Linked DNA regions of Lepisosteus oculatus. The protein of the gene in region 1 binds, or shares a complex with, the protein of each later gene. Links are inferred from orthologs where the notes say so. Each region holds a gene or a part of one and is shown on either strand. Other genes may lie near its edges. The genes, in order: zmynd8 and dbn1.

Region 1 (7,312 bases):
AAAACACTACCCTTAGTTGGACTTAACACTATGGTACGTGTCGCACAAACTTGTAAGAATACTAGGATCTGTTTCCAGGATGTTGCCCTAAATTCAAATTCATAAACCTGTTGCAAAAAATTAGATGACGGCAAAAAAAAGGTTTAAATAAAGAAAGGTTCTGCACTGCTAATCAATAATAACAAGTTACAACAGCGTGAACCCCTTCTGCTTGAGAAATAAAAAGGTTAGGCTGTGCAGAACAGAACCTGAGCATGTAGACTGAAAAAAACAGCTTTTTCACTTTTGGAGTTTCACTTTTAATTTTGCATTAAAAAGAGATCACCTATCAATGAGTAACGACAGGTATACACAGGAGAGCCAAAAGCAAACCAAACTCTCAGATGTGCACTGCAGTGGGTCTCTCAAACTGATCTTTCATATGTTTACTGTTAAAAACCTCATGCTTTCAACAGATCCTTACATTTTAAAGCCACTCATAGCTCAGCTGCTGTCAACAGGACTGCTGCTTAAAATGATAATAGCCACGAGAACAGCAGACTGTCAACTTCTGCATAACTTCAGGCCACTTATTGAGATTGCACTCCTTAATTTGTGGCTCTCATCAAAAAAAAAATTAGCCACCTTCCGCCCATCAATCAAATTCATATTACCTAATTACACTTTGTACGATATGTGCATTAGTAAAGCAGGCTGAAATCTTCAATACAAGGCAAAGCACTGACAGGAGAGGGCTCTAATACACTGTTCCTTGCAGTTCCTCAAGTCCTGTTCTGTAAAATTAGTTGAAAGCAATGTTTTTCAGTCGTTTGCAGGAACAAAAAGCTGTGCACACTCTCTCCATTACCTTACACCAAAATGTAAACCTGTGTGCTACTCTGTAAGCCATTTGCTCCCCCAGGGATCCCTGCTGTGCTGTTGTAGCTACATCTGTTTCTTAACTTCCATTTTATCTGAGGCTGACATGTGACACAGGCAAACAATGATGCAGGCAATCTGCTTACAAAGAGATCCCTCACAATCAGAAAAGACTAAATCAACAGAAAGAAAATGTTACATATATTCCTGTCTTGCAAAAAGGATTTGCCATGGTCATCTCTGCAATGGAGACTGGCTAAGTAACCATGTGACCACAGCCAGCAAGAGAAACTGCTTTTGCTTCTGCCTGGTTCCAGTGCTGTGGTGTGTGATTTGCAGGCTTCCCTCTCAAAGAACAATATTCTGGTATTAGATAAACAGTACATTAAGGAAAAAGTAAGAAAATCAGGCTTACCTCTGTGGATGCATGGCTAACACAGTGTTATGTCAATACTTATAAAACATGGAGGACAGTCTCAGTTCTTAGACAGAAAGGGCTTGGCACTTCAGCTTGATGATCAGACTGCCAGATAGAAGCTAGACCCTGAATGGCCTCTTTTCACTACCGGGATGTAAAGCGGCAGCGGATTGGCTGAAACATTTCCTGAGTAATTATCTTTGTTCAGCTCAAGCAGGCAGGAGCAGCTCTGTGGACAAAAAGAAGAGCCAGATCTAGGCCCAAATCACAAAATACACACTTTAAAACATTCCTACAAACAAATGAACACATACAATGTTCTAAAATCGTTACCAATCACTGCATCCTACATTGGCTGGGTTGTATTTAACTGTATTTTCCAAAATATTTCCCCAAAACATGAAAACTAGGAGCAGTCTGACTCGTCCTCCCTGTTGCAGAGAGAAAGGCCTTTGTCTAAGAAATCCCTCCCTTTTATTTTAACAATCCACAGAAAATTTAAGTTCCCAAATGCAAAAGTATACGAATGAAGAGTAAGAATAAATGGTGACAGCAGTCTGTAGAAGGTCTGTCTTAGGCCCATCTGTAAATCTACCAGGCTTCTAGAAATATTACATTTATAAGATTCTTAAGAACAAAATAGTCAACTGGCCAACTACACAATTATTTGTGTATATATATATATCTTTCCTATATATATGCAGAAATATTAGATATAAAAACATGCAGACAATATACAGTGAATGTAAATATTATATTTTAAAGGCATATTTCTAATATTACACAACATCTCACAAAATGTTAGTATTGCAAATTCAGTTAATTCCCATTAGATTCCACAAAATTACTGTTTTCTCTAGATCTTGGTCTACTTACAATCTCTTAGAAAAAGACAGTTTGATTGTGCATTACTAATCAAATACTGTATTAGATTTAATCCAGAAATAAAAATAGATTTGTATACAAGCACTAAACATCTACCAAAATGAACTGTTTTCTATATGAAAAATATTGTTTTGTTTTCGTAATTTCTGGTTTTCCAACAGAAAATTATTATTTAAATATAGTACTGTCATGGTTGTTTTATGTCAGGAGAAAAGGCTGACATTACCTCAATCAAAGTGGAACTGTGTGTACTGTTTTTTTCCTATTTTCCCCATGAAATATATGCACTGTGCTACAAAAAGTAGCCAATGTCCTCTAGTCGGGTCACAAACTCTGATTAACAGCAACAGCAATTTGTTTTTTTTACATGTGATTCACAAATTTCTATTAATTGGTTATTGGGGTATTGTTGCATTTGTGAAACAAATGTTTTTAAAAGTAAATATAAAATAATATTTCATATAAATAATATATAATAAGCTTTTTATACATAATTTAAACACAAACATGCCATATATTTTCATTGTGAATTCAAACTGTGCATCTATAACAAATTGTATTTTATTTCAGAATGGCATAATATTTCTTACATATCAGGCCGCACTGCTATAGTTTTGCATAATAAAAGTTAATTTATGTGGCAAGAACAAGGAATTCTACCAATCACAAAGATAAAACAATCATATAAAAAAAAATTCATAACAGATTTAAAAGCACCCAACATATAGAGATATACATTGGCTACTACTTACAATTTTTGTGAGATTCAGGTGTCTAAAAGCTTAAAGTATTGGCCTCACTCACTCCTTCCTATAATGGAGTGTCGAAAATGGACTTCTTACTAATTACTGAACAGCCTGCAATTATATGTTCTGACACCTGCACGTGTTGAACACCTTCTAATACTGCTATACACCTGCATTATAATTTTACAATTCACTTGTAGAAGAAACATTATTTTCGCAGGAAATACTATTTACTGTATAGCTTTGTGCCCTTTTTCTGTGATCCTAAATGTAATAGTGACACCTTGAGGCAAATTCTAGTATAGATAAATAGGCTGCACTCTCACATCCTACACTAATCACGTTGTGTTCTTTCATGCCTTGGCACATTAGACTTCCATATACATAGAATTAAAGGGTCAGATGATAAACAACCAGAACCTTAGAGTGGTCATTTACATTTACACCTTTTCCACCACATAGCTCAGTTACTATTCTGAATACTTCATCACCACTCCATCACTGCACAAAATTACTTTTACAGACTGAAGCTTATAAATGTGTTCTATGTGCATAGGCTGCCCAGCTGTTGATTAACCACACCTGGATACACAGCGTTTAAAAATGTCTCCTCCAGTCCTGGCACTGAAACAAAGTGGAGACAAATGGCTGTCAAAAATCTCTCATTTTTTTGGTGAGCACAATACAGTACTTGTGTTGAGGCCTTCAAAGTGAACACACCACATCTCTTTGAGAATTGTAAGTCTTCATCAGCCTCGGGAGTGCTGAAGCTTTTTTTTTCAGACAAGCTGGAAGATGATTTATAGTAAGATGCTGTCCTCACAATGGATATTTTTAAGGGAGCTCTTATCTCTTTAAGGTGACATCCTCTTAGGCCCAGCCCTCACTGCCATGATGTTTAAAACACACAGGCACTGATGACTTGATTTTGCTTCTGAAGATTTTGCAACTTCCCTGAATTAATTTTTCTGTCTTTTAAATATAAAGCATGTCTGTATTTACATTTCTATGCACTGGCTTCTGCAGCCACTGGCTGTTGAATTCAGCGGCACTCAGGAATCGCACTAGGCAACATGGCAGTAATTAACTAAAATATGTCAATATAATTGCTTATCATTGCATATTATGGCTATGCATGTAAACAATTGCATACAGTTGATAGTACTTATACATTAAGTGTATAAGTGTCCAAGTGAACAGGCTCATTTATTTAAGTTACCACTCAGCCAGACCTTTATATCTAAATAATTTAATCACAAAATGGAATTCTAGTTTCATTCCAACGAGACTCTTCACACCTTCACTTGATGCAGCTTGCAAACGCTTTAACAGGAAGGTTCTGTACATACCAAAACCCTTCGGTAGTTGTAAGTGTAACTAGATTTAAGGAAACGGTAATCGCACAGGATTTTTAATGCTCCTCTGAAGTGAGTAACCAAACCTTAGTTGCATTGCGCCCCGTGTAATGTTTTCTTTGGTCCCGATACAAAATCTCTCCAGAAATGTAAAGTATTCTAGACTATCAGTGCAGCCCTTTGTTTCTTTTCATGAAACGGCTTTACTAACCTTTGGTGAAGAAATCGGTGTTATCCCAGTCTTGCTTGTACAATGCTTTAAAAAAACGTGTGTGTATGGATTATGTGCCTCCTAAGCATTCAGAACCCCCATCGGCCACTCTCATTCTAAAAAAAAACCCTTCTTTTTCTGTACCCTAAAACTGCAAGGTTTAATGCTCATGAACGCGTTCTTATTGGAGAAGACAGCAGTCGATCTTGTTGTGAAGGGGAAATAAAGCGCTTCAGCACGCTGTGACAACACGACGACGACGACTCAAGTCAGAGAGCTTTGACGTAGCGGAGATGGAGGCCTTGACGGTTTTCTGCCCTGCCCGGCAGGTTCACCGAGCGTGGGTGACGATTGGCGGACGCCTCAGCCGCTCATCCCGGCTTCCTTTTTCCGATTGGTCCATCTGCCCGTCCATCAGACGTGTGTCCCTGCCGCGGGGGGCGGGACCTGTGCGTCAGTGGGCGGTGCTTGGAGGAGTCTGGAGTAGAATCTGGGAGGGTACGTCGGGCTGAGTCCGGTGGTTGCGTGCGTGGTGTGTGTGTGTGTGTTTGTGAGCACATTTTGCCTTCTGTCGATCCTCTCGAATTCATGCTAAAATACTGCACCTTCTCAACAGTGAAGTGGCGGGGCAAGAGGAAAGGGGGGTCTTGTTTTTGGGAAACACACGCGGGAAGAAGTGCTTGCCGAGTCAGCCAGAGCCATGGGTTTCCGTAAGAAGAACAAGAGCCCGCCGGTACTGAGCCACGAGTTCGTGATCCAGAACCACGCGGATATGGTGTCGTGCGTGGCCATGATCATTCTGCTGGGACTCATGTTTGAGGTACAGTAAGGAAACAACAAAAAGCAGATCGGCACGCAGGACACCCGGTTGACAGCCACAAGGGGGCTGGGCACAAACTATCCCCCCCTGATCATTAAGACTGAACGCGGCCATATAAACCTGGTCACATTACAGGAAAAGCTCCTCTCAACAGGGCAAATAGTTCAGAGTGCCGAACACAAGAGCTCCCGGACATAGTTCAGAGCCGCCAGAAATGTCTTTATTGGTTTATATAACGCCTCAGCTTACTGGGCTGATGTCACAGCTAGGCACCCACATCAAAATATCATTTTACACCGAAGATATGTTTTTAAGAGGTACTGTAGCTGGCTAACTCGAAGGGCAGTGACGCCTGGTCGATGGTTAAAGTGTTATTAATGATCGGATGTGCCAAATGCAGCTATGTACCTTGCCATACTGCAGGTGCTTTAGGGTTGTACTAAATATAACCGCAAAAAGCAATGTTTTAAACGTTTATTTTTTTTCTGCCTGTTACCTGTTACTGATGGTAATATTTCGAATGCGAACGACGACGAACTTGACAAAATGTTTGTTTTCGCGTCTCGGCAGTCATTATTTACATTGAAGGGTGCGAGGCACAGCTTTTGTTTTTGGAGCGAATGAACTAATGGCACCTGGACGGTTTAAAATTTAAAATTTAAAATGTCTTCTGTTAATTCATAAAGTTACTAATTTTAGTTTTACAGCATAAAACTGACGTTGCACGAGTTGTCCAAAGGGTTCAGCAGTCTTGCATTATCATGCATTAACTTCATGTGTACATGTTTTTGATACAGTACAATTTATTTGTATTTGTATTTACTGGATTATGATATTATCTGCGGTTTCTGCTACAATGCATTTTTTATGTAGTGCATCGTATAAAACTCTTCCACAAAGAGAGGCTTTGTCTGGAAGTTCAGGAATAGTCATTGAAAATGGGGCAACACTAGGTGAAACTGTGAGAATTGAAAGCCATTGCTATCTCACATGCCAGCTCTGAAAATATTTCAAATCTGTAGCCGGGTTTGTACAGGGCACCAGAAAAACACAAGACAGTGTGACTCACACTGTCACACAGGCCCTTTTCTGGGCCTGAAAAGGGGGTTAAAACGAAATGCATCATCTTATAATGTCATTGCACATTGATGCAGAGTTTTCACATCAGTAACCTGATTTGCAAAGAAGCAGAAATACCACATTAGGACAAGACATAAGTGTCAGGGCCCGCCATTTAGGATATAAATAAAAATATTGATGAACTGACATCCAAAGGAGTTTTGAAGTTTGAGACAAAATGATTATGTGTGCCATTCCCTGGGGAAGAAAAAAAAACAGAGCACCAAGCATTGGAAAATATCAGAGCAAATAAAAATGGACACAATTGTTTTTCTTAATATTCACATTTAGAGCTCAGGCAGAGATTAGGTTTTCCTGCCCTGGAAAATTGCATTAAAGCAAATCTTGACTACGTGCACTTTAGCAGTACATCATTGGACCTTCATGTTACGATTTTACATGTTCAGTTCATGCTTGTTGCCCTTCATACAAGTTTAATGTTTAGTTTGGAGTGTATTTTTTCTATTGGAGAGAGAGAGCATTTTAATGACTGTTTCTTCATTGTTCTTTTTTTTTCTGCAGGTAACAGCAAAATATGCCATCATGTTTATTACTGTCCAATACAATGTGACATACACGCTTGGTAAGTCTTAAACTTTAATAAAAAACACATGGGGTACACTTTTACAGTGTGTAAAGTTGGTTAAATATTATCTCAGAAATATGCTATTTGTGTTTTGCCTCAGAGCCTTTTACTTCACTGTAACATTTCCTTGTTTTTTGTTCGTTAAATAATTAATTCTTTACACTTATATAGCACTTTTCTGGGGACTCAACTCAAAGGACTTTAATAAAACTAAAGCATTGCTACAATAAAGTTTGATACAGAGTCCTTACAGCTGCTGGGAATAATCACAAAAGTCGAGCATGGCAGAGGCTTTTTACATTCAGAAAAGGCTT
Region 2 (7,312 bases), on another chromosome or scaffold:
TGCACTCTCAAGATTGCAATCAGTAGAGGGGGCGTGTCGTCCAGTCTGCTGCTAGAGAAAAGGCAGCTGTAGGCGCAGCACATGCACTGCCTGAGGGTTTGGGCAGAGGCTGGAGATGGTGCAGCTGCTGGAATGACATCTCACAGACAGCCCTGAGGACACTCCCTCATCCTGCAATCAAAGGAGGCATCTTGAAAGCAGACAGGTAAGACTGAACTCGGTAAGAAGCAGAACTGTTAGCGACAGGACTGCAAATGCTCTGTTGCTACAACGCGATACACAGTACAGCACCAGAGGCTTCAGACTCTCACGGCTTGCTCCTCAAGAGTATTGCAGACAATGGGCTGAGCCCACAAAAGGCCAAGGTGCGACTTTCCACTTCCCTGCAGGCCAGGGGTGTGGAGGCTGAGGCAGTCCGGCTACCACCCTGATATTAACATGGAAATCCTGGATTCAAACTCCAACACCTCCCTTTCCCACAGGACCTTACTTAGCAAAAGACATCGGAGGAAAAAAGGCATCTGAAATTCCCACTAAGAAAAAAAAATACCTCTCTCTGGTGAGATGTTTTACATTTTTTTAGAAGGCGGAGTGCAGATGTTTTACCAAAAGGACACATAAAAGACACTCACGGCATGTTTTTAACCCCTAAAATGTTACCAGATCTATGTCATTATCGCATCACTTCCAGCAGTGGCTTGCCCAGTCGGGAGTCACGTTGGCCCGGAGTCTGTCTCAGGAAGCAGTGGGCACAAGGCAGGATACACCCTGGACAGGACAGCAGTCCATCGCAGGGCAGGCACACAGACACGGACACGCACACCCACACCGGGGCCAGTTCACTGAAAGCCACATGTCGTTGGGCTTGAGGAAACTGGGGCGCCCAGAGGAAAACCCACATGAACACGGGGAGAACATGCAGTCCACACAGACAGCACCCCAGGAATCGAACACGGGACCCCGGTGATGGGAGACCGCAGTGCCAACCACTGCTCCACAGTGCCACCCCCAAAAGCACCGTGTGTGCCAGTTATTCACAACAGTTCAAAGCTTTAAGAACCCAGTTACAAAATGGCAACAGGGCCTCTTGAAATCCATTCACCGTCAGAAGCCTCCCATTCCTGATGAGGGCTAACACAGCATGCGGCCTATCCTGGCCAGTCCAGCCCAGAGCACACAGAGACAACTGAGAGACCCCAGCTAACCGAACCAGTTAACTGGAAGGGTCCTGGAGCACCAGGAGGAAACATCTCCACTCAGAAATCATCCCAGTCCAGAATCCCACCCAAGACCCCAGAGCTGTAAGGAAATTCCAGATTTACTTACTTGGAAGTTCTGCAGATGCGTTTCAGTTTAAAAACAGAATTACAATACTGATAAACAGAAAAACCCTTCAGAGTTAGGTTTGACCAACACTAATTGAGAATTAAGCATAAGCAACACTGTTTTATTTTGGATATTGGTTACAATGCTCTTGGTCACTTTACAGTGACACCTGGGACTACGACCCCCCAGCTGTGTCTGCAAACTGTAGGAACAAACAGGACGTTTCATTTATTCCTGAAGAAGACCTTGGAGTCCATATTAGGTACCCCATTTTCACACCACTCCTTTTTATTCTTTCGGATCACATTGGAGGACAAATGTCAAATTTTCCATTTCCAGCAGCATGAAAGCAATTCTGTGAAAACGAGATTCATGAGGACGGAGCGACTGTCATTCCAAGGCACATCACAAAGCAGCGCCGCATTCAAAACAAGACACAAACGCTTGCAGGACAGCCCCAGTCCAGCTATGCATGACTGCTTTAACCTAAAATAATATTCACTTGAGACAGTCCTAATGTGAAATGGAATTAATTTATCTGGAGCCACAGAAATCTGCAGAACCCAACCAGCTGAAGACAATGCTCAGTGATCCACTCACTGATCTTAGACCTTTGCAAATGATTTGGAGTGTGTGGAGTATTTCCTGGACAAACATAAGCCCCTTACCCTAACCCATGAAGGATATAGATATCACTTCTTTTAAGTGACGTCTTCTTTCAGGAAAGTGACATCAGCTTCTTTAAAGCAAATGTAAAAGGTCAACAGGCAGCCACTACAGGGATGTGAGCACTGGAGTAAAGTGTTCCGACATACACACAGGAGAAACTCTTATCGTACAGAAATGACCTATAGATGACCTGACAAAAACCACCACCTATCTAGTTGTCTAAAAGATTGATCCCATTAAAGACAAACAAACAACAACCTGCAAAGAACCGGGTTTCCTCTACAGATGAACGTTACAACGGGAAAACAAGACTCCCAATGCAAGCGGCCAGATCCAGTTCACGTTTTTAGATGACTTGATAAACTTATGCACAGGCAGGTAGGTACGTTCAGCTCAGATAGTCACACGTTTTCTTCATTTTCCCATTGCTGCATATACTTTGTTCATGTCCAGGCAACTCATCAATTCTAAAAATTGATTCAGCTCTTATTCAAAGGGAGGAGTCTTTGTCTTTGTCTCCTTGCAAGAGGTGAATACAGTACCAGGGCCACTCCTGCAACAGTTACCACAGTCTAGTGAAACTGCTGCGTTCTCGTAGAAGTACAAGTAGACACCTAAGCTTTCCTCCCAGCAGTCCTCCTTAGCAAAATACTGCAGTCCTGTTACAAGCCTTTGGGATTACATCTCCATGTCTTTATACCGCCACACTCACTGTGCACCCTTCATAAAGCAACCTACAGATCCTATAGAAAAGTCCTGGTTCTCTATATAAATGGGTTCTATGGACATCCTGTTTAAACCTTTAGGTTATTTTCAAAAGGAAAGTCCTACCCTCCCCCCCAAAAAAAAAATCTATAGACCCTGCTGTCCCCTCTCCCCGGCACAGCTGCGCTCCGATGAATAATTATATCAGCGATTGACTCCTGTCTTCAGCCAAGGAAACATCTCATCAATCCGCTGAAACGCAGCTAAAACACTGCGTCCTCTAACGAGGCATGAACAACTGCCCATCACACCCCAGGTGCTCACGGGCTGCGGGCTGAGGAACATCGCCACCGCCGAGCTGAAACGCCGCAGAAAGTTACTACGCCGTTGGCGTCGGATCCGACGGGATGCAAGGGCACGCCACACACTCGTGTGCCGAGCCAGTGGGCTTGGGGCTGACTGTTGCGCCGAAAGCCGGTCCCTTCTCGCCTCGCCCACTCCACCACTCGCGGAGGTGCTGTCAGGGAGCACAGCCGAGCGACAGGAGCGAGGTGGACCCCTCCTCAGCCGTGCCCAGTACGACAAAAAAAAAAAAGACCAACGGAAAAAGCTTCGGAACTACAAATTAGCCTGAACTAGCGGTCATCCGAGGCAGAGCAGCCTGTGACAGAGCAAACAATAGTACATCTTGCAAAACATTAGCGGCTACTCGGATTTCTGACAATGCGTAATGCGTGACGGACTCACGAGGGGGTAAATTGGCCCCCCCAAAAAAAGAGAACAAGAAAGGCAAAATTATGTGCAATAAAAAATACTAAAATATGGCTAACGAATCAATTGTCTGTTGAACGCAAAGCATTATCAAATCCCAAAGCTAATCAAGTGTTTTTTTTTCCTTTTTCTAAAAAAACCCTGGTGTTAAAGTCTGACCTTTTCTCTTTTGGGGGGTACAATAAGGTTGGGGGGGGTGTTTGTCACGAAATCAACATGCCGTATCACGTAAGGTGATATCAGCTTACATTTCCATAAACTGCGGTCATTAAACATGCAAAGTAACTGATTTTGCACGGCTGCACCCCAAGTGCCAAAAGCATTTATCGCCTGCCCAGAGTTTATCCACAGAAAGGCTGCTGCTGCATCTATCCGAGGCGTTTCAGCGCAAACCGTACAGTAGTATGATGAGGCATCATTCCCCGGCCGTGGACATCAGTACCCACATTGTTCGGCAGTGATATTGCACAAGCCTACGCCTTATAATAAAACCCCAGCACCACACCAGCGGGTGGGGATACCTATGTACGTTTGCCTTACCAGTCGGTGGACGAAGTCTCGCTGATAACATCCTGGTAGGCTGTTAACAGGGCCAGTCGATTCTTGCTGAGATTCACAGCCATTTTGCTGTCCTCGCAGTCATCCAGACCTGTGTAATACTGTAATGGAATAAAAGGAGAGGAGAGAGTGAGGCTGCGGGGAGACAGATCTCGAGATTGGAACAAAGAGACGGTCCTTCTCTGCACTAACCTAATGTTCTGCTCGGTCCTAGTGCTACCACCACCGCGGGGAGGCGCAGGTTACAACGCCGGGTCCTAGCGCCGGCCCAGCCCGGCCATATATGGACTGCGCTGATGATGTCATTCTTGACAGGGTATACTGACAATCAAGAGAAGCCAGCAAAGGTTTATTCCCTGCTGGAAAGAGAAGGAAGGAAACACAACGTTTCGGCTGTGGAGCCTTCTTCGGGTTCAAAAGAAGCCTATCGCTCTACTGGTGAAGGCTGGCCTTTAAAAAATACATTCAGATTTTGGTCGCTGATTCAATGTTTTTTGACAGACCGGTGATTGAACAATGGGGATACCGTCATTGATTATTCAGCCATTTTTGCGACGGATCCTGACACACTCCAGTGACATAGCTGCTTACGTATGGAATCTCCTGGCGGGAGAGAAGGTTGACTCGGAACCGGCGGAGAGTTTGTTCCTGTCCAGCCCGGTGAAAATGAAGAAAGGGATACACAGAAAGGAACCGATATACTCCACTCCTCCAGAGAAAGAGGCTTTTGTGTCCTCGGTTTGTTGGAGCCACACCTCAAGTGGACAGCTTCGCTGGAGTCCCCTTGAGAGACGAATCAAGGCCTTGCGTTGAACGTCCCTGAAGGACGTCCGCGAGTGTGGCGCAGGGGTGCAGAATGATACTCTAACTGTGGTGTTCATAGCCCGGTCAACAGGGAGGTCTAGGTGTGATGTTCTGGGCAGGAGTGTCCAGCGTCTGCAGAACAGCTCCTGTAGAGACTGAAGGCAGCCCGACTGCACGGAGCTACACTGGGACCTTCCTGAAGGCTCGACAACACACAACACACGAGGGCCTTCTTGCCAGGTGAAGGTGGGGCAGCTGTGCCAGGGAGGCTCTGTTCACCACATGTAAAGCCTGATGCGCGTCTGTGTGTGGGGTGGGTGTGTTGGGAATATGTTTAGCATTTAGGGATCAGAGACCAGTGCACAGGTTTGTCCAGGAACATCGAGAGGAATCATGCTGGTAGAGAGAGTTTCACCAAGCATCATCTGCAACCCGGTGTACGCTAAATCATGCTTGTGCAGTTTTTGTACAGCTTCCAGCATTCCCCACACGTGCCATTGGCCTGTGAAGAGCTCCCATCAACCCTGTGGATCACATATTTTAATCAGCATAAGGAGTTTACCTACGGTCCATCACATCCATCAATAACAAGTGAGGTGGCCTGATACAAAATGATTGTCCTTACACTGATAACCTTGTGAATTTGAGTTATGCAGTTTGTTTTGATGTTTAGTATGTGAACCGTGTATGTCCCCTTTATACACGATGTTAAAGATAATCTCTGATTACAACATGTAGGCATGCTTGTGGATATCACATTCAGCTTCTGTCTTCTTACGTTCTACATTTACACGATGTTCCAATACTGAGAATATTCATCTCTGCTGCTGGAGAGCCACTGTGTCTATTGGCTTTCTTTCCAGCTGGGCTCTGAAATGCCTAATTCCTTCTTCAAGCAAAGGAGTTCAAATACTTTTCAGGTTTTTGCTCATTGACTATTTAAGATTGGCTACACAGCCTGCAGGACTGCAGCTCTCTGATCCTTAGGTCCTGAAGAATTTGGTTTCCTTTCATGTTTCAAGTTGAGACCCAATGATGAAGAGCTCCAATTTCCACCAGAAAACCCTGAAACTGACTGAATTCAAGGAGCTGTTGCAGCAAAAGTAACCTTCGCTGACAAAGAAAAACAAACCTAGTTTTGTTAGTGCTAATCATCCAAGAACATTACATCATCGGTGAGGATGTTTATATTTTACCGTGAACCAAGTGTTTTAGTAGGGATGATCTTGTTATGATGGCCTTAAATCATTGCTTTGTAGGAGTCTTTGAACCCTTTATTTACCTTCCAAGGCGGTGAGCTCATAAATGTTTAACTTAACCCAATCTCCCTTCTGTCTCTTGATATGAAGTGATCAGTTGTGCACTCTTGCACTCTTTTCAACGAGTCTTCATTGAAAGTAACATGAAAGCTGTGGCTATTTAAGTTAAAACCTCTGGAAACACAGTAACCATGCAGAACCTACATCCACAGCCCTACTCCTGAAGAGAGAGTTTGGAAGGTCTCCTAAGTTAAACCTGAACAGTCCTTCAAAAGAGACCAGCATACTCCATTATACCATTCAATGAAGCAAGTAACCACTAATATTCAAAGCTTAACTGGCACTAAACACCAGAACACATTATGGGTCTTCAGGAGCAGGGCTAGTTACTTGTTTTATAGTCTATGGTGATTCTGTAAGAGTACTGCACACTTAGATGAGTCCTAGTGAAATTTAAACTGAAATTCAGACCTTTAGCTCGTGGAGACTCTCTGCCATGGGGCCATGCCTAATAACCAGGCCATTAAAACGTTAAGTAATCACCATCCACCAGTCATGACCACTGTAGGACACCGCCTGTCAACCGTACTTCAATGTGCCAGAGTGTGTAGCGTACATTTTTTTATTTTTCATTTGTTCCACTGTTTTCACATTGTTTCACTTCACACTATGCAGAGAAAGAGCCTCACTTGGTGAAAATGATTGAAAACGTTTTAATGTGTCAGACTGAGCAAGAGTGCCACCTCTGAGCGAAACGTGTGTCCTACGCTTCATCAAGAGCTTTAGAAAAAATGACAAAATTGCTATTTTCACATCTGTTTTTGTTAACTTTGTAAGATAAGAGATAAGATCACTTTATTGGCCATATACAATTTCTTGTATTAGGAATTTGTCTTTTTGCATACCCCAGCCTGCTCTCCATGAGACACACAGACAGCCTCCGCAGCTGCGTTTTTTTACACATGTACGTATATATAACCTATACAGAGATCAGGTAGTAAACAGGCAGTTACGTGTTCTCCCTGACTCTGACACACACAGACAAGAACCCCCTCCCCCCACCGGCTCTCCCCACTGCCTAATGGGGCACCCCACATCCTGCAGCCTCTTCTCTCTGTAAGTGGGTTAACAATAATTAGTGCTCAGTGCTCAGCCAATCCCTGAGCCCCCAGACAGGCGGATGGTGGAGGTACCAATTATTTCAATTGTGATGTTGATTA

The links.
Region 2: the proteins of zmynd8 (region 1) and dbn1 are in contact, whole or in part, in a crystal structure (PDB 5Y1Z), measured with the Homo sapiens proteins. The link is inferred for Lepisosteus oculatus from reciprocal best matches to the Homo sapiens genes ZMYND8 and DBN1. Residues at the interface, in NP_001350670.1 of Homo sapiens: Gln167, Pro168, Gly169, Thr170, Gln236, Ile237, Val240, Lys243, Ile244, His247, Trp269, Leu285, Gly287, Phe288, Phe307, Gly309, Gln310, His311, Asp312, Ala314, Thr335, Lys336, Ser337, Ile338; in NP_004386.3 of Homo sapiens: Met1, Ala2, Phe6, Ser7, Arg10, Leu11, Leu14, Tyr17, Glu18, Asp92, Ala93, Cys96, Ala97, Ala99, Ser100, Lys104, Glu107, Phe108, Gln110.

What each region holds. Positions count from the first base shown.
Region 1 is NC_090711.1:7,660,231-7,667,542, reverse strand, and holds the start of zmynd8 (MYND-type zinc finger-containing chromatin reader ZMYND8), read right to left. Parts: upstream 4,769-7,312; 5' UTR 4,474-4,768; intron 1,506-4,473; 5' UTR 1,288-1,505; coding exon 1,274-1,287; intron 1-1,273. Other genes in the region: translocating chain-associated membrane protein 1-like 1, read left to right, coding at 5,174-5,293, 6,935-6,995. UniProt on the Homo sapiens protein: Chromatin reader that recognizes dual histone modifications such as histone H3.1 dimethylated at 'Lys-36' and histone H4 acetylated at 'Lys-16' (H3.1K36me2-H4K16ac) and histone H3 methylated at 'Lys-4' and histone H4 acetylated at 'Lys-14' (H3K4me1-H3K14ac).
Region 2 is NC_090706.1:39,984,800-39,992,111, reverse strand, and holds the start of dbn1 (drebrin), read right to left. Parts: upstream 4,311-7,312; 5' UTR 4,222-4,310; intron 4,209-4,221; exon of another isoform or gene 4,131-4,208; 5' UTR 4,095-4,130; coding exon 4,012-4,094; intron 1-4,011. UniProt on the Homo sapiens protein: Actin cytoskeleton-organizing protein that plays a role in the formation of cell projections. Required for actin polymerization at immunological synapses (IS) and for the recruitment of the chemokine receptor CXCR4 to IS.